Callithrix jacchus: one gene and its partners. The protein of the gene in region 3 purifies or fractionates together with the protein of the main gene of each other region. This does not show direct contact. Links are inferred from orthologs where the notes say so. Each region holds a gene or a part of one and is shown on either strand. Other genes may lie near its edges. The genes, in order: protein POLR1D, POLR2H and POLR3D.

Region 1 (6,019 bases), on a different chromosome or scaffold from region 3:
TCTGCACCACGGTGGCCGGAACCAGCAAATGCTAACAGCCGGAGGCCGCCCGCCTCCTGGGCGCCTGCAGGGGGTGGGCACCGGGCTCCGACTCTCCCTCCCGGAGCAGCCCCACACCCGAGTCCACGCTGGCCCTGCAGCCCGAGCAAGCGAGGACAGTCGCAGAGGACCAGAGCTCCGGGGAGAGCTGCGGCGCCGCACCGGCCGCCTCCCGGGGCGCGGTGCTGCCCCACACCCCGCCGACGCCCGCACCTGAGGCGGCTGCCCGGAGCCGGCGAGAGGGCGCGCAGCGAGGCGGGCAGGGCAAAGTTACTCACTGGGAAAGCGCGGCTGCCCGGGCCGCTCACCGGCTCCCGGCGCCGCTGCCCGGCACCAGCTCCAGCTCTCCGCAGCCCGCTGAGACAGAGGAGAACCAGCCCGGCTCCGCTCCGCCGCCGCAGCCGCCGCGGATTTCCTGGCAAGAAACAAACTCCGGCCAAGACTTCACTTCTCAACCGCCCCTGCTGCCTTCCCGGGGGCCAGCGCCAAGGCCAAGCGGCCCAACCCGCACCCGGGCCAATCGGAAGCAGCACAGGGCGGGAGGGGGTGGGCCAGAGGGCGGCCCCGCCTATCCGAGAGCTCGGGAGGCGGGCCAGAAGAGGGACCGTCACTCCCGGGTTAGAGTGAGACCACTCCGCCCTCGCTGCCTGCCTCCCCCACCCGCCTCTGGCTGTCCCCGCCGGCCGCCTGATTCTCCTGCGGAAGCCCCGCTGGCGAGGTGCCTGCGCGCACCCTCGGCAGCCGCCAGGAATGGCACAGCTGGGGAGGGAGTGGACATCCAGGGGAATCGCGGGGAGGGGTGGGGGAGGAGAACAGGAGGCGCAGGGAAGCAGAAACATAGGTGCGCAAGACCACAGGGCAGCTGGAGTAGGGCAGGGTCGGGGCCGGCGGCCAGGGGAGAAGAAGGGGCGATTCGCGAGTAAGCCCACCTGAGGGAGTGCGGCGAGGGCCGGGACGCAGGGAGCAGGGCGGAGAGCGAGCCCAGGCGGTGAAAGGTTGCCGAGGCGGGGGCTGGGCACCTGGGAACAAAGGTGAGGGCGGGTTCCGCAGGTGAGGAGGTTTGAGGAGCCACGGGGGGTAAAGGGAAAAGGACGTCCACTGCGGGAGAGGACGCGCCCCGGGGGTATAAGGAATTCTAGGACCGAAGAAAGGATGAGGTGGGAAACAGTTTTCTTCCAAACTCTCGCTCCCTCAAAAGAGAAAGACATTTCTTTCCTGCCCTTTTTTGACCCAGTTGAGAATGCAGCTGCAAGCTCCAGGGTCAAACACCGCCTTCAACCCTAGTGTTCTGTTGTGACTCATCTCGCACATGACCCCCTTTCCAAGGTGTGTTGACCGACTAGAGCCTAAGCCTGTTGTCCCACGAAAGGCCCGGGAGGGCCGAGGTCCTGGGAAGGGCCACCCTGGGTCGACACGGCCCCAGTGGGGGAGTCGGGCCTATTTCGGACTTGCCACTGTGAAGTTAAGTGATTTGGGGGCGTCAGGTAAGGCCCCGCTACTTCGCCATCACCTGGTGAAAGGTACCAGGGCTGACCCGGGGCTCCCGCAGGCAGGTCTGGGCCTCGGGGTAAAGCGGCGCTGGCCCCACCCTCTGCCCCTCCTGCGGCGGGTGGCCTCGCTGGGGCGCCCAGGTGAGCCAAGGGGCGGTGAGCCACGGCCGACCCCGAGTCGGGGCGGGGATTGGGGGCGGAGCCTCATGCCCCGCCCCGCCGTTGGGCCCTGCCGCGCCGCTGCGGCTCCTCCTCTCTCCTTCCGTCCTCCGCGCTTTCCGTCGGTCGGTCCTTCCTTCCTGCTTCGTCTCCACGCCTCGAGCTATGGGGCAGAGCCCCCGATACGTTAGCACCACCTGAGGACCCGGAAACCGCCTCCACGATGGAAGAGGACCAGGAACTGGAGAGGTAATGGCCAAGGAGTAGGCGGGCGAAGCGGGCCGCGCCCAAGGGGATCGGGTGGCCGAGGGGCACGCGGCCCGGCCTGGCAGCCCCGGCCTGACTCCGGGCGCAGGGAAGAGGCGTGGAGAGAGAAGGGGGAAGAGACATGAATGTGTTTTAAATGAGAGGCTGAAAGGTACGCTAGCTATCAAGGAGGGAAGACAAGTTGGGAGACCAGAGTTAAGTCCCCGAACTGCCCACCCCCATTAGAACAGCAGCGTGTAAAATCACGCCCCGGGCCCCTGCCTCCTTGAGGACGGTACTGATGCCTGTGTCCCTGTAACTACTGCTCACTTTCCTTCTCTGTGCAGACTGCTCCTAAAGCCACTCCTCTGTGTACTGAGCTCTTATCCTCCCTCCTGCTTGACTCCTGGACCTTCCATTCTCCTAGTTTCCTTCTCTTGCAAAATGGAAGCTGCATTCCATTTTGGGCCTGCACATTGATCATCTGTATCCTCTATTTTTATACTGGAGCAATCGGGATTTCTATGCCTTTCAACCCCATTTTCATCCTCTAGCAGGACCCATCCTATTCCAATCTTATCCCTTGCTCGTGACTCTACCAAAGAATATTTTTGCAAACACTTAAGTTTGTGTTTTTCTAAGAAAGCTCCCCTTGTGGCCAGTGTGGATGGTCAAATGGAGCATGGAAAAACCGGAGGCAATAAATTAAATATTTATTGATAGAGTTTGTGGAGGCAGGAAAATGAGAGGCAAATAGTTCTGTGTAGCTGGAGTAGATTGATAACGTGTTGCAATGTGATATAGTAAATGAAAAAAGCTAGTTACAAAACCATATTCAGTATGATCTCATTTTTATAAAAAATATGTGTGTAGAAAAATATCTGGATTGAAGACCTCAATGGCTGAAGGCGAGAGGAAGACAGCCCTGGAAATGGTCCAGGCAGCTGGAACAGATAGACACTGTGTGACATTTGTATTGCACGAGGAGGACCATACCCTAGGAAATTCTCTGCGTTACATGATCATGAAGAACCCGGAAGTGGAATTTTGTGGTTACACTACGACCCATCCTTCAGAGAGCAAAATTAATTTACGCATTCAGACTCGAGGTGCCCTTCCAGCTGTTGAGCCATTTCAGAGAGGCCTGAATGAGCTCATGAATGTCTGCCAACATGTGCTTGACAAGTTTGAGGCCAGCATAAAGAACTATAAGGAACAAAAAGCAAGCAGAAATGAATCCACATTCTAGTCCCTTATGCAGTATACAAGGAGAACTGTCCTCTAGGATATTCTCTTCCTGATGGTGCAGAACTCAGAATTAGAAGCTTGTGATCAAAGCATACTCTGTCCTTCAGAAAGGCATGATTCTAGCTGTTGACCCCTTGTAGCTGTTGGAATCTCTGCAAGAACCTCTGTATTCTTCTAATAAATTCCCTCTTTTATTTAAACTAGTTTGACTGGTTTGTGTTCCATGCAAACAAATGGTCCTCGAGGATACCTTTTTTTTCTTTCAATTAAGCCAGCATGGAAAATGAGGAAACTGAAAATATTAGACGCCTAGACAAGAACTGTGATTATGGGAATTAAAAGGAGTATATATCCATGTCTGTAATTGGGGTGGTGGGGGTAAGGGCAGAGACAAAAAGCATGACTCCAGTTAGACTTTGGTTGGTTTAAGAAAAGAAGAGGATAGGGTGGGGACTTGGCTTGTTGCTAAACATTTTTGCTTTTAAAGAATTATGTCATTTGCTGTGTCTGGTAGACTGGGCAAGGGTGGGAAATAATTTGAAAGAATGGTAAGAATTCTGGGTTTACATGAGAGTTTTAGGTGGTATCAGGTTCCATCTTTGAGGCATTTACAGGAAGGATACCAGTTTACTGCTTGAATTTCGGGATATAGATGTTTAGTCATGATCTTAGTAAGGTAAGACCTTTTGATTATGTTACAGGAGGAAACTGGGATGACTAGATAACGTTTTCAGTCCTTAGGTAGGTGTAGCCTAGGGTAACATAGAAGCCCTATTTGAAAAAAGGTAAAGCCAAGGAGAAGGAAAACTCCATGTGGGGGAAATGACCGTTCTAGAAAACACATACACCATCCGCCAGTGCTCTGTGCTTTGAGGCCTTGTTTATGCTACCCCTGCTTCCTGGGGCAATCTTACTCCTGCCATACTCTTAAATCAAAACTTATGTGTTGGGCCCCCCAGCCTAGTGTGGGTACTTTGTGCTTTCATTACACCCTGTGTTTCCTGGCCTTGGCATTTACTGTGCTGTTGGTAGTGCTTGTCTACCCAGTATACCAACTTGCAGGTCAGCATGATTCTGTTACCTGGAACACCTGACAGGTAGTGGACACTTAGTAAATACTCTGTGAATTCATGAAATTAGTTATGGCTTGCAGCTTTTCAGTCACTCAAACCTGACCTCTAATACTAGCCTGCCACAGAGCCTACATTTCTTACACGCAGTCAACTTCTTTAAAGATATTTCCATATTTTTGAGCACTAGTATGTACGAGGCCTTGGGGATAGATATATAGCTATTGTGGATGAGACAGAGTTAGTCCTGTTTTCGTAAAGCGTGTGTTATAATTAGAGCCCCTTTTAAAAAAAATTGTGAAGCTCAGCATGGTGGCTCACGCCTGGGAAGCCAAGGTGGGTGGATCACTTGAGCCCGGGAGTTCGAGACAAGCTTAGGCAACATAGGCAGGATCTGTCTCTACAAAAATAAAAATAAAAAAGCTAGCCAAGTGTGGTGGCACATGCGTGTAATCCCAGCTACTTGGGAGGCTGAGGTGAGAGAACAGCTTGAACCCAGGAGGTGGAGGCTTCAGTGATCCATAATCACACCATTATACTCCAGCCTGGGTGACAGCGAGAATCTGTCTCAAAAAATATATAAAACTAAAAACTTGTAATTCTGTGAAAGCAACAAATGTAGGGTCAAGATAGAAAACATGAGAAAGGAATCTACTTTAGGCATGGGAGTTAGGAAAGGTGTTCTAGAGATTACAGGGAGAGAGCTGGGTGTACAAAGGGGCGAGAAAATGAATTCTGGGGGTATAGCATGTGCAAAGATGCTGAAGCAGAAAACTTGTGGTGTGAGTAACTAAAGATATTGGAAGAAAATTTGCATGTTTGTAGCACGGTAGACAAGGAGAGGGGTCTGTCCTCGAGTCCATGGGAGGAAGAGGTATGGTAGTAGGGATTTTGGATTTTAAGTGCAGTGGGAATGACATCTTCGTTACTTTGATTACAGTGTAGGGAGGAGATGAATTCTAGGGAGGCTGGAGTAGAGGCAGAGAGAGACACTGTAAAGAGTTGAAGTGACCTACCTGGAAGGATGGAAGCTAATGATGGAGAAGAGAAGGTAGGTGTGAGGTATATTTTAGAATTGTCAAAGAATTGGTACACCTCAGGAATTGAATGGAAGATGAATCAGAAAGATGGCTACTCCCTAGCTTTAGGGCCAATTACTGAAATTGGAAAGCTTAAAATGGAAAATAGATTGGGAGGTGGAAAAGATAGGAGTCAAAAGTTTAATTTTGAACGTTGTAAGCAGTGGCTATGTGAGTTGGAGATCGCGGAATAGATCTAAGCTGGAGACAACTTTTGTGAGTCCTTGCCATAAAGATGACAAATTGAAAAATAGAGGGTGACAAAGAAGTGGCCCCAGAACCAAGCCCTAGGCAACTTCAGTATTTAAAGTTTGGGTCAATGTAATGGTAGAAAAATGCAAAAGTAGAGTATAGAAGCCAAGACTTTCAAATAGGGAATAGAAAAATGTCACCTAGAGTTAACATGGAGGTCACTGGACCATAGCAGCATTAGTTTACTGCCTAAGAAGAGTAAACATTAACACTCATACAGAGGAATGGCTTAGTTTGGTTTTCCAATAAAAGAATCACAAAGACACTGCAAGAGGTGAGTTTAGGTGGGAGCAGGGATGTCATAGGAGAAGGATGGAGAATATTCTCGTATGGTGATGGAAATTCTGGAAAGTCAATGCTTGTTTAAGGGCATTAGACTTTGAAGATACACGAAGCTCAAAAAGGATGTGGAAAAGGTTTAAAAACTTCTTTGCCT
Region 2 (5,978 bases), on a different chromosome or scaffold from region 3:
TTGGCCAGGCTGGTCTCAAACTCCTGACCTGGTGATCCACCCACCTCGGCCTCACAAAATGTTGGGATTACAGGTGTGAGCCACCACGCCCGGCCAAAACATGTTTTACATAATGTTAAGCAAAAAGCAGAAAAAAGGTAATTAACACCGCAGTCTCAAAGGAAAAATATAGATGTTAAGAACACTAGGATATTAACAAAAAATTAAAAATAAATTTAAAAAAAGAACACTAGGATATGCAAAAAAGTCTATGTAAAAGGTTCTCTCTGGGTATGGAATGACAGGGTTTTTTTTCTTCTTCACATTCTCTTCCGCATTTCAAATTACTTACAAACAGCACATATTGTTTTAATAAGATTTTAAGGAAAAGACACACACACACACACACACACACAGCCTAATAGTATAATCACTTAATGCTGCATTTGGTTCCTCCATACTTTAACAGGGAGATGACCAGTTTCTCTTCTGGACCACTAGGCCAGGAGGGCCTGACAAAGGGCAGTCTACAATTCAGACTGGAAACTGCTCTAATAACCATTTCTTTCTAGTTCCCACCTATGTCTGAGGTGCCTAAGGAGAAGGACCCAACAGAGGAAGCAGAAGCATAACTCAAAGTCTCAGAACAGGGAGGGGGAAAACAATCCTCACAAGATCATGTAACTTACAGGCGTGTTGCCGCTTCAGTAGAAGTTTCGTCTCCCTCAATCCTGTATACTTTCCCATACATTACATACTCAAATTGGTCAGCCCTATGGAGCAAGAGTAGCAAAGTTATTCTTAACAGTAATTAACAATATAAAAGATGCCATTTAAAAATGGTAACTGGTAACTCGATGCCAGCATTTTAACAACAGGCACATTATAAACATGACGCCATTTAGTCCTCACAGCAATTCTGTGAGCTAGGCAGGACCATCTCTAGTTTACTGATGAGGAAACAGGCTGAAGGAGATCAAGCTTACTTAGCAAGTAAGTGGTAGAGCTCAGAAATCAACTCGAGCGGGGTGCCAAAGCCTTTCCATTACACCAAACTCCCTCCCAAGACACAAGACCCACAGAGCGGTCATCTTCTCAGCCTTCAAAAAGCTACAACTCACAAGCATGTAATCACTGTTATAAATACCTGGTTGTTTGAAATTTTTTATCTTTTTTTTTTTTTTGAGACAGGGTCTTGCTCTGTTGCTCAGGCTGGAGTGCAGTAGCATGATCGTGGCTCACTGCAGCCTCAATCTCCCTGGCTCAGGCAATCCTCCCACCTTGGCTTCCCAGGTAGCTGGAACTACAGGCACATGCCACCATGGTCAGCTTTTTTTTTTTTTTGTAGCAGTGAGGTTTCACTATGTTGCTCAGGTTGCTCTTGAACTCCTGGACTCAAGCAATCCTCCTGACTCAGCCTCCCAAAGTGCTTGAATTACATGTGTGAGCCATAGTACCTGGTCTGTTTGAATTCTTAAGTGCAGAAATTTCCTTAAGGTTACTCAGATTCTGCTAATCATTATTTATTCTAGGAATTAAAGAAGAGTCTTTCGTTTTTCTTTTTTTTGGAGACAGAGTCTTGTTCTGTTGCCCAGCCTGGAACTCAGTGGTCCAATCTCTGCTCACTGCAACCTCTGCTTCCTGGGTTCAAGCAATTCTCCTGCCTCAGCCTCCTGAGTAGCTGGGACTATGCAGGTGCCCACCACCATGCCCAATTAATTTTTTGTATTTTAGTAGAGACGCGGTTTCACCATGTTGCCCAGGCTGGTCTCAAACTCCTGACCTCATGATCCACCTCCCAAAGTGCTGGGATTACAGGCATGAACCACTGTGCCCCGCCAGAAGAGTCTTTCTATATCACTTATCTACTTAGTCCTCAGGGCATATTTCAAGTATCACCTTCTCCACTCCCTCACCTGGAAGGCCTGTCATCAGTGGGGTTATATTCACCATCATCCAGGGTGCCATCTTCATACAAGGTACTAGCTATGACCAACCGGAACTTGTCACCTAAAAATAACAGCAATATCAGAGAGTGAAGAATAGCTGAAGCAGCAAATAGCCTCTTATTATTGTCTGTGTTCAATACTTACCCAAGTCTACAGGGTAAATTTGAATGTTTACATCTAAGATGAGATCCATCTTGAAAGATTCACTCTCACAATGTAGCCGAGACACTGGGGAAAAGTGGAAAAAGAGTAAGAGAGGTATTGCCAGGCCCAGGGAAGATCCTACAGTGTGGGATTGTATGCAACAGAATACTCAATCTAACCCAGCCTACATCCACTGGTCTCTCATGTCCTCTAAGGCAGGCTCAGTCAGACCCAGATATGCAAGGAGGAAATCAGGAGAAAAACTGTGGCAAGTGAACGTAATCCCCAGAAAACAACTAAAGATACTCCAGCAGCAAATAATATCCAGGTTCTAGGCCTGCCTGGATGGCTGAGAACCTGACTCTGGGCAAGTTATTGAATCATCCAAAGGTTTCCTCTTTCTGTGCTAGGCACTGTGCTGAGGGGGTTATCAAGATGTATAATGACTGGTATCCATCTTGAAAAACATCTGAGTCTCTAGGCAAAGAAACAGACACCAAAGAGAAAATTATTGATCAATGACAAAATAAAGAAATGGAGACTAGGCGCGGTGGCTCACACCTGTCATCCCAGCACTGTGGGAGGTTAACGCAGGTGGATCACTGGAGGTCAGGAGTTGGAGACCAGCCTGGCCAACATGGTGAAACCCCATCTCTACCAAAAATACAAAAACGAGCTGGGTGTGGTGGCAGGCACCTGTAATCCCAGCTACTTGGGAGGCTGAGGCAAGAGAATTGCTTGAATCCAGAAGGCAGAGGTTGCAGTAAGCCGAGATCACACCATTGCACTCCAGTCAGTGTGAGTGACAAAGTGAGACGCCATCTCAAAAAAAAAAAAAGGAGTCTTCATGAGGTGGGTGGTGCCTTCCCTGTTTTTCTCTGAGAGTTTGAGTAACTCACCCAAGGCTGCACAGCAAGTAATCTAACTTCAGAGTCTATATTCTTGTATCGCTCTCAGAATCTTTAGCGCTTAGTGAAGTCTTTTCTGAGAGTTAACTAGTTAACTGCTTAGCGTATATATATATAATTTTTTTTTTTTTTTTAATGGAGTCTGGCTCTGCCGCCCAGGCTGGAGTGTAGTGGCTCGATCTTGGCTCACCACAACTTTAGCCTCCTGGGTTCAAGCGATTCTCCCGCCTCAGCCTACCGAGTAGCTGGGATTACAGGCGCGCCACCACCACACCCGGCTCATTTTTGTATTTTTAGTAGAGACAGGGTTTCACCATGATGGCCAGGCAGGTCTCGAACTCCTGACCTCAAGTGATCCACCCGCCTCAGCCTCCCAAAGTCCTGGGATTACAGGCGTGAGTCATCGCGCCCGGCCGAGGTCTCTTAAGAATAAGTAAGGCAAAGGGTGTATGAGCCGCACAAGACAGTGTCTAGCACAGAGTAGGCAGCGATTATAAAGATGCTCAGGAGTTTGCCAGCACTATGACAAAAGGCCATCCAGACACCCAGCACGGCATGCGTGAAGCCAGAGAGCTGAGTCTCCGTTTTCTCATTCATAAAGTGTTTCCTGAGGGAGGTCCCTACATCAGGACCTGCTGGTAGGAGCAGGCCACAAGAGCTGGGTGGGCATGGGGCCCAGGGACATGTCCGCGAGGTTAGCGTCTTCCTCCAAACCTCGTACCTTACTTACCTCGGTCAAACTTCTTGCCCTCTGGGTCAATATCCTTCACATCGAAAATATCCTCAAACAGGATGCCCGCCATCGCAAGTGGGCCAGGAGAGCAGCAGAAGGGGTTAACGCGCGACCACGGCTGGGAGTACGCGCACCCCCTCGCGTGGAGAAGGGAGATGAGCAAAAGCACCTCCAGAAAGGCGGCAGCTAGACAAGAGTAGCGCATGCGCACAAACAGGCGGTAACGCGACCACTTCCGCCACAATCTTCCTCTCGGGGCTACCTAACTTCCTCCCCGAAAGACTGTTTCCGAGAGGCTTCGGCATTGAGGGCGGGTCTCACGGCCAGGTGGCTCCGCCCAGGGCGGGGAAACAATAGGTCCAACCTCCCGCGGCTGTAGAGCGGCTTCTGCTACGCTGGGGCTTTACTGCGCGCTCTTCAGAGTCTGAGTCCAGAAGATTGGAATGCGTGGGGGCCTAACCCAGGCAGGGACCTTGATCCTTGGCCCAGAGCGGCCAGGCCCTAGCCCTATCCCGCCGGTCCTCGTGCCCGCCAAGGGCACAGTCCTCGCCGAGGGCAGGTGGAGAAGAACCCCGCCCCAGAGGTGCCCAGCCCCTCCAGGAGACACCAAGGACGCCGGGGCCGGCCTGGGCCGGCTGGGCCCTTCTGGATGTAACCTGAGCCGGATCCGTCCAGTTTGGGAATTTGCCATGACGTCGCTTTGGAGAAATGGAAAGGCTGCATGGTCCCCTCCCCTCATACGGCACCCCACGACACTGCCCTCTTCCCCCAGGCCCTGGTTTTCCCGCGCACCGCCCCTTCAGCCTGGCTCCCGCCCCCTGGGCACTCCCCCTCCAGCTTGGTACTCTGCGTTCCCGTTTACTGGACACGGATCCCCTCCGTACCCCTTCGGCCTAGCACTGCCCTCTCCCTTGAATACCAGCTCTTCCCTCGCACTGGCCCTTCCTCCTGGGTGGCGGCTTCTCTCCCAGGGCCCCCCCCCCTCCCCGGGCACTGCCCCCGCCCCCCGAGCCCCGCCTCTGCCTCCCAAATAGCCCTTCCTTCTGGTACTACTGGCTCTCCCGCACCCTGTCCGCGTCCTGGGCGCCGCCCCCGCTCCTCTCACACTGTCGCTCAGCTGCCCGTCCACCCTGCGCGCGCTCCGCCCTCTTTTCTATCCTTCCCTGGCCCCTGACAGAGAACCCCGAGCACCAGCAGACCGTTCCCCGAAAGCGGAGGGACAGCAGCAGCGACTCGGGTTCCTCCTTGAGCCCAGCCAGGGAGAAGCGACCTCTGCTCTCCACGCCCGCGTTCCGGGCGTGGACTCCCGGCCCGTGGAGCTCCCCTCCTCCGGCCTACCCCTTCCGGGGCCCTCCCAACCTCCACCCCCGCACACCCCGCAGGCCGGGTTGCTCCGGGTGCACCTCCCTGGGGCAGCCCCGGGAAAGGAAGGAGTAAGGAAGACGGCCCCGATCCGCCCCGAATCCTCCCAGCTTTGCTGCTCACCCCTGACAGGCCTGTCAGAGCTGCAAGTCCCTTGGGACGGGGAGAGGGGAAGCGGCTTCTAACCGGCTGACCCGGAGGCGTCCGATGTAGATCACTCAGCACCCCCATCCCTGAGCCCTGCGGAGCTCGGGCATCTGCAGCCCCTCCTGCCCGGACGCAGGGAACCGCCAACCCGGCCCGGCCCCTCCACGTGCCCGCGGACCCGCCCCTGCCCGGCCCCGGGCGCCCCTCTCCTTCCCCGGCCTCCGCAGGGAGCCGGCGCGGGCTCCAGACTGCTCAGCGCCCCCTACCGCCTCTCGGGAGGCCCCGCGCGGACCCCGGCCTGGCTGGGCCGGCCCCTCCGGATGGGCTGGCGGGCGGAGCAGCGCAGAGGGCACCACCCTCGGCCCGCCCGCCGAGGAGGGGACAGGAGCCGGAGGCTGCGCCTGCGGCGCCCGCTCCGGGCCCGCCGCACTCTGCTCTCGGTCTCCCGGGCTGCGGGGACGGGACGGCCGCCGGCGCTGACTCTGCGGGCCGGAAGCCGAGTAGAGGGCAGAGCCCGAGCCCCGGAGGGAGGCGAGAGGGCAGTGCAGGGAGATGGCGTCGGCCGCGGCAGCGGAGGAGGGGATGGAGCCGCGGGCGCTGCAGTACGAGCAGACCCTGGTAAGTGAAGCCGAGCCCAGCCCGCGGAGTGCGCTCCGGGACCGCTGCTCCAGGTTACCCTCGGCAGCGCGAGGACCGAGGGCCTATCTGAATCCCGTCCCAGCCTTTTGAGCTGGGGAAACTGAGGCTCGGAAGTCC
Region 3 (6,164 bases):
TGTTCAATTTCTGCCAGGGTGGCACGGCTTTGCTTCCCACTACAGGTTACACTTCCCCTCCCAGTCCCTGCCTCTATTCCCACAGGCGTCTGCCTGGGCGTACCCGGTCCTTCTCCTGCTTGATGAGTACCATCTGGCCATCCTCGCCCTGTACCTCTGTCTTGATGGGCTTGATGTCCTGGGTGGGCGGTTGGCCAGGGAGGGTGTCTGGCAGCTGGAGAAACAGCAGTTCCTCCTCCTTGGTGAGGCTTAGCTCCCTGAGCAGCTCTGCCACAGATATGTCCTTCGGGAGGCCTGGGGTCTTCCTGGCTGCTTTGGGAGGAGCCTTCATCTTGGCCTCCTCCTCCTCATCTCGAGGCTCCTCTTTCACTGCGGGGGTGATAGAAGTGGAAGGCTATCATGTGACCACCCTCCACATCAGCTCACTGTTACCAGCCCTTTGGCCCTATCTACTCCACTATCACTCAGCCAGGGAGTGGGAAGGAGGGACTGCTTATAGAGAGGGGCACAGGACAACACGTTCAAGTCTTGTGTGACTTAACTAAAAAAGGACATCTGAGGCTGAGCCCACTGCTCCACGTCAACATGTGAACCCTCTGTGAGAGAGAATCAAGCATCTTTGTTTAGCTCCTGTATCTTACAGCCAGCAAGGGAGCATCTGCTCATAAGCAGCAGTTAGGGCCCCATGCAAGGGATGTCTGATGCCAGGGATTCCTGGGAGTAGCCATGGAATTGGAGATGAGAAGTTAATGGACACAGAGTACCTTTCACAGCAGGTACATCCACCTCCATGTCCTCTTCCTTGGGGCCAGCCAGCCACGATTTAACATCTGGTTCGTCATTTTCTTCCTTAAAAAGCCATCCTGAGTGAGCCAGCGGCAGCTGCACAGGCATATTTCGAGTGTCGTTCCTCAGCCCGGGGTCATCGAGGAACTGCCAAAAAGAATTGGGGTCATCCAGCCTGCTAGCATACGCACTTGGAAAAAAGTCTGCTTTAGTCACTTTCTAACCGAAGATTCCTGCTGCTCCCCCAGATTCCAGGACTCAGTGAGCTCTTCCGCCCCTCACCTGGCTCCCCAGAAGCCCTGTTCTACAGCCACAAGCAAGCCCCTTCCCCAAGCCTCCAGGTACCCACATCGTCCTTCTCCAGCATGCGCAAGATCTGTTTCGTTTCTTCGTCTGTCTCTCTCTTCTCTTTTTTGATGTTGATGATATGAGAAGGTCCCATGTCTGACACATCCACTGTCTTATCCCAGTTTCCTGTGGGAAATCACCCGGGTCACTAGGGATCAATCAGGAAGATGCCAACAGCAAGGAAAACTGAACTGGGAGCAGGGAAATTCCACTGCTCTTGCCCTTCTCTTGGGCAGTCTGAACTCAAATTCACTACTGATTCCTTCTTCGTACCTTTTTTCTTCATCATTTCGGCTGGGCCCTGCTCAAAGATGGAGTGGGACTGGATCACTTCTGGGCGGCCTCGTCCTCGTCCATGCCCCTCTCGCTGTCGGTCTCTGTCCCTTTCACGCTTCTCCTTCTTGACAGTTACTTCTTCCTTGGGCCTGGAAAAGAGAATGGATTCGGGAAACCACTCACTCACTGTGTCTCCGAAAACTGGCCTTAATCTCCCATACCACCTCACTCCAAGACAGTGGAGAGTCTGAGCCAATAATTACACTATGAGAAGCAGAATCCAGTTCTAATTCTAGCACTTTTCTCACTTCCTTGATGAGGCAGGATTTTTTCAGTTTGCTTTACTTTACCTTGTCCAAAAATGTAGATTTTTTTTTTTTTTTTTGCATTGGGACTGAAAGCAGGAAGGCAGAAATCCAAAGGAACTTCAAGGAAAGTATGATACATCTTTGTTTAAACTAGTGGCTCTCAACTCTGGCCATCAAAGAGAATCACTCCATTCCACTGCCAACAAATTAAATCACAATTTTTAGAGATGGAGCCCTAGACACCAATATTTTTTTTTTAAACTTACACATCAGAATCACCTAGAAGCAAGGACTGAAAATCACCAGTGAAAAGAACTAAAAACATAAATTTGTCAGAGCCACAAACCTAGTTACTTCCCCCAAAGCCCCATATTCAGAGAAAGTAAATAAGGGGCAAGTATTCAGAAGGCCTAGCTACTTACTCTTCTTTGATCTTCCGACTGATGATATTTGGGGTGAAGGTTTTCTGAAAGCAAAATACAGGAGTCACTGATGTGTTAGGTCCTGACCCCAAAGTACAGAGGAAAAAAAAAATTCCCAAAGGGCACTGTCTACCAACCAAGGCCAACATGGTTGTCTTTGGCACGTTCCACAGTGCTGTCCGCTTTACAGAGACAGACATGTGACTGAAAAGAAGGAATGTCATGGTGTGGTGGCAGTGGAGTTACACATAAAAGAAAGGGGCACCAAACCTCATTTTTAACCAGCAGCCTTAGGTTCTGCCTCTGAAAGAATACCCTCTGGGACTTCTAAAAGCAAAGGAATTTCTCTAGTCTCACCTCTCATCTTCAAACTGCTATAGAGACCAGTGAGTATCATGAGAGAACAGCTCTAGCACCAAGACATAAGTAGGGAAGACCACAGATCTGCCAACACTCTCAATCAGGGGATTATAGACCGTCACAATTTTCCAAGGCAAAGTTAGGTGTTTTTTTTCTTTTGAGAGGGAGTTTCACTCTTGTTACTGTGGCTGGAGTGCAATGGTACGATCTCGGCTCACTCCAGCCTCTGCCTCCCAGGTTCAAGCGATTCTCCTGCCTCAGTCTCCTGAGTAGCTGGGATTACAGGCACCTGCCACCACACTTCTAATTGTTGTATTTTTATTAGAGACATACCCAGCTAATTTCTGTATTTTTTGTAGGGGTTTCACTGGCCAGGCTGGTCTCAAACTCCTGACCTCAGGTAATCTGCCCACCTCGGCCTCCCAAAGTGCTGGGATTACAGGCGTGAGCCGTGGTGCCCAGTCGCAAAGTTAGGTTTTTAAATACTGCTTTATTCTCCTGCCATCCTGACCCTACCCCTTTCAGAGCTACTCTTGACATCCACAATCATATGCACATGGGAGACCACAGAGCCTCAAATGCTATGCCTAGGATTCATCATACTCTAGATAAAAAGTCTGCACACTGAGATGTTGAATTCTGAACTCTCTAAGACTGTGAGGTTTATGCCTGCCTGGCTTTCATGGGCTTGTTATAGATGTCCAAACACACAATGAAAGTAAATAAACACTGTTCAAGTTGCTTTTGAACAACGTTAACTAATTAGGACTCTCTATCCTTCAACCACCTCTGAGAATCATTTCAACATCTGTACTCAGTACCTAGATTTGAAGGTAGGACAGGCTCCCTAGAATGTAAAGAGGAGTAGGCGTGAGGCCGAACAATACTCCAGACACACAGTAGGCCCTACACGAACATTAGTTGAATCTCGCGGCTTGGAATTCAAGGTAGGTGAGTTTCTTTAGAAACGCGCCGTTGGGTACCTTCTTGACTCCCCCGAGGGTGAGGTCCCTGGAACGGATGGAGGGAAGGCGGCCGGGAGTGAGGGGGGGCGCCGGCCGCCGCCCGATGAGCCCCCGAGCCCCGGTCAGGAGGGGTCGGGGCCCTCCCGGAGTGCTGGGCTCGCCGGCGGCGTTTCCTTCCGACATGTTGCCTGGCAAAGAAGGGACAACGAGATGACCAGAGGGGATTGACACGCGGACCCTTGCGGAACCCCACCCACTTGGCTTCCGGTTCCCCACTCAGCGCGTCCTCCAGTGGCGTCTCTGCTCCTCCCCTCCCACGTGGCAAGACTCCCCAGACCACCCAGGTGAGAGCCCTCGTGACACGCCCTGTCTCCAGGACCCCCGCCCAAGAACCAGGCAGGGACTCACCCGGACCGCGGCCCCACACCACGCTCACGACTTCACCAGAGACGCGACCTGCAGCTAGCCTTCGGTCTCCGCGCCGAACGGAAGTCTGCGTGGCATGGTCTGGGCGCCGCCATGTTGGCGCGGGGCGGAAGTGATGTTCTGGGGGCGGGACTGAGCCACAGTATTTATTAGGCGGCGCTTCGCTCCCCTCCGCCTTCTCTTCCCGGTTCTTCCCGGAGTCGGGAAAAGCTGGGTTGAGAGGGCGAAAAAGAATAAGGGGACTACTGTTCTGGGCTACGCTGTGACGTGGCGTTCGGGGGTCTTAGGCCTCGGGCGGGGGTGTGGAGGCGCCGAATTCAGGCTCCTGGGCCTTGTTGGCCGCCACGCGCAATGTGAGGAATCGCCGCGGCGGAGCCCCTGGGAGCTTTGGGGTCGCTGCTCGGGATGGGGCGAGGGGCGCGGCGCAGAGAGCGAGACTTGAACTCAAAGTTGGGGAGTCCTGGGCCACGCCGAGCCCCGTCTCGGGTTCTCCATGGTGACCTTGAAGTGGACAGTTCCTGCGGGCAGCGGCCTCGCCCACTTTTGAGGACCCCCTTCCCTGTGCTCCTGGGGGGGTTCAGGGGTGAGGCTGTGGGGGGCAGCGTTGGAACAGCCGCAATGGACCAACCGGTACCCAGTCACAACCGCCTTGGGCTCACGACGGCGGTGGCCCTCATGTGCGCTCTTGGTGAAAGCCTGCACGGAATCGGAATACCAAGTTTGCTCTACTGTTGGAATTTGAAAAACTTCGATTGACTCCGATGTTTGTGATTTCACATAAAAAGTGTCATTTAATGTTACCCCCCAGACCATGTAAAAACCATGTAACAATATTACGGGGAGTTTGAGGAAAGGAAATCATTTCTATTCGATTGCCACGTAGAGTACTACTATTAAAAATTTTGTAATATATCTAGTAGTCTTCACAAAGTTGTCATATTCTATCACAATTTCGTATCCTTTTTCTTTTGTTTTTTTTGGGGGGAGGCGGGGAGAAGAGGGAGACGAGGTTTCTCTCTGTTGCCCAGACTGCAGTGGTAGGATCGGCTCACGGCACCCTCTGCCTCACAGGCTCAAGCCATGCTCCAACCTCAGCTTCCCGAGTAGCTGGGACTACAGATGCATGCCACCATGCCTTTCCCCGCTCCCCCCGTCCCCCACCTCGTAGAGATGGAGTTTCACTGTGTTGCCCAGGCTGGTCTTTAACTCCTGAGTTCAAGTGATCCCACCCACCTTGGCCTCCCAATGTGCTGGAATTACAGGCGTCAGCCACCGCGCCTGGCCTGTATCCTCCTTTTCCAAATAACATTTCTCTGTTGCCACATCAAAGACTGTGTCGTTCTCCAGTGGCTGTATCATGATTTAAGTATTTTCCTGATTGTTCCTTTTTTTCCTGTTTTAAATAACGTTGTAGTGAATATGTGGTACATTCGACGTGCTTTTTGTTTGTTTTCTTTTGGATTATATTCCTGGGATAGATTTCCCGTCCTGGGATAGCTGGCCAAAAGAAGATGCATTTTTTTTTTTTTTTTAAGTAAATTTTTGGGATGGGCATCGTGGCTTACACTTGTAATCCCAGTACTTTGGAAGGCAGAGGTGGGAGAATTTCTTGAAAGGCTCAGCAGTTCAAGGTTGCAATGAGCTATGATCTGGTCCCTGCACTCCAGCCTGGGTGACACAGCAAGACCCTATCTCTAAAAACATTTTTTAAATTAAACTTTTTATTTTGAGAACATTGTAGGTTCATGTAGAGTTGTAAGAAACAATATAGAGAGATCCCAAGTACTGTTCACTGTTTTCCCCCAATAGTAACATCTTGCCACCAGGATATTGACATTATTACAGTCAAGATAGGAGAAGTTTCCATCACCACAAGGATCTCTCTAGTTGCCCTTTTATAGCCACACCTCCCTCCCCCACCTCCTCCCACCACTAGTCTGTTCTCGATTCCTGCCATTTCGTTATTTGAAAAGTGTTATATAAATGGAATCGTACAGTATGTGACTTCTTAGGATTGCTTTCTTCACTCGGCATTGTTCCCCAGAGATCATCCAAGTTGTGTGTGTATCAATAGTTCCTTCTCTTTTATTGGAGCCTATTCGTGGTTTGTTTAGCCATTCACCCTTTGAAAGACATCTGGGTGGTTTTCCGTTTGGGGTTATTATGAATAAAGTTGCTGTGAAAATACACGTACGGGTTTTTGTGTGAACGTAAGTTTTTATTTCTCTGGGATAATTGCCCATGAGTGCAATAATTGGGTCATATGGTAGTTG

The links.
Region 1: the proteins of POLR3D (region 3) and protein POLR1D purify together in Homo sapiens (affinity purification with mass spectrometry; 6 studies listed by BioGRID and IntAct, counting the BioPlex papers as one, with this or other methods). This does not show direct contact. The link is inferred for Callithrix jacchus from reciprocal best matches to the Homo sapiens genes POLR3D and POLR1D.
Region 2: the proteins of POLR3D (region 3) and POLR2H purify together in Homo sapiens (affinity purification with mass spectrometry; 4 studies listed by BioGRID and IntAct, with this or other methods). This does not show direct contact. The link is inferred for Callithrix jacchus from reciprocal best matches to the Homo sapiens genes POLR3D and POLR2H.

What each region holds. Positions count from the first base shown.
Region 1 is NC_133506.1:146,816,787-146,822,805, forward strand, and holds the start of protein POLR1D, read left to right. Parts: upstream 1-1,819; 5' UTR 1,820-1,911; coding exon 1,912-1,937; intron 1,938-2,807; coding exon of another isoform or gene 2,808-3,183; exon of another isoform or gene 3,184-3,382; intron 3,383-5,192; exon of another isoform or gene 5,193-5,286; coding exon of another isoform or gene 5,287-5,303; intron 5,304-6,019. Other genes in the region: uncharacterized protein LOC144582762, read right to left, coding at 1-1,247; POLR1D (DNA-directed RNA polymerases I and III subunit RPAC2), read left to right, coding at 1,912-1,937, 2,808-3,183.
Region 2 is NC_133516.1:13,339,808-13,345,785, reverse strand, and holds the start of POLR2H (DNA-directed RNA polymerases I, II, and III subunit RPABC3), read right to left. Parts: upstream 3,906-5,978; 5' UTR 3,784-3,905; coding exon 3,711-3,783; intron 2,157-3,710; coding exon 2,073-2,156; intron 1,990-2,072; coding exon 1,896-1,989; intron 753-1,895; coding exon 669-752; intron 1-668. Other genes in the region: CLCN2 (chloride channel protein 2), read left to right, coding at 5,775-5,840. UniProt on the Homo sapiens protein: DNA-dependent RNA polymerase catalyzes the transcription of DNA into RNA using the four ribonucleoside triphosphates as substrates.
Region 3 is NC_133514.1:19,237,468-19,243,631, forward strand, and holds the start of POLR3D (DNA-directed RNA polymerase III subunit RPC4), read right to left. Parts: upstream 4,000-6,164; 5' UTR 3,874-3,999; intron 3,654-3,873; 5' UTR 3,649-3,653; coding exon 3,484-3,648; intron 2,185-3,483; coding exon 2,141-2,184; intron 1,560-2,140; coding exon 1,408-1,559; intron 1,261-1,407; coding exon 1,136-1,260; intron 934-1,135; coding exon 765-933; intron 370-764; coding exon 104-369; intron 1-103. UniProt on the Homo sapiens protein: DNA-dependent RNA polymerase catalyzes the transcription of DNA into RNA using the four ribonucleoside triphosphates as substrates.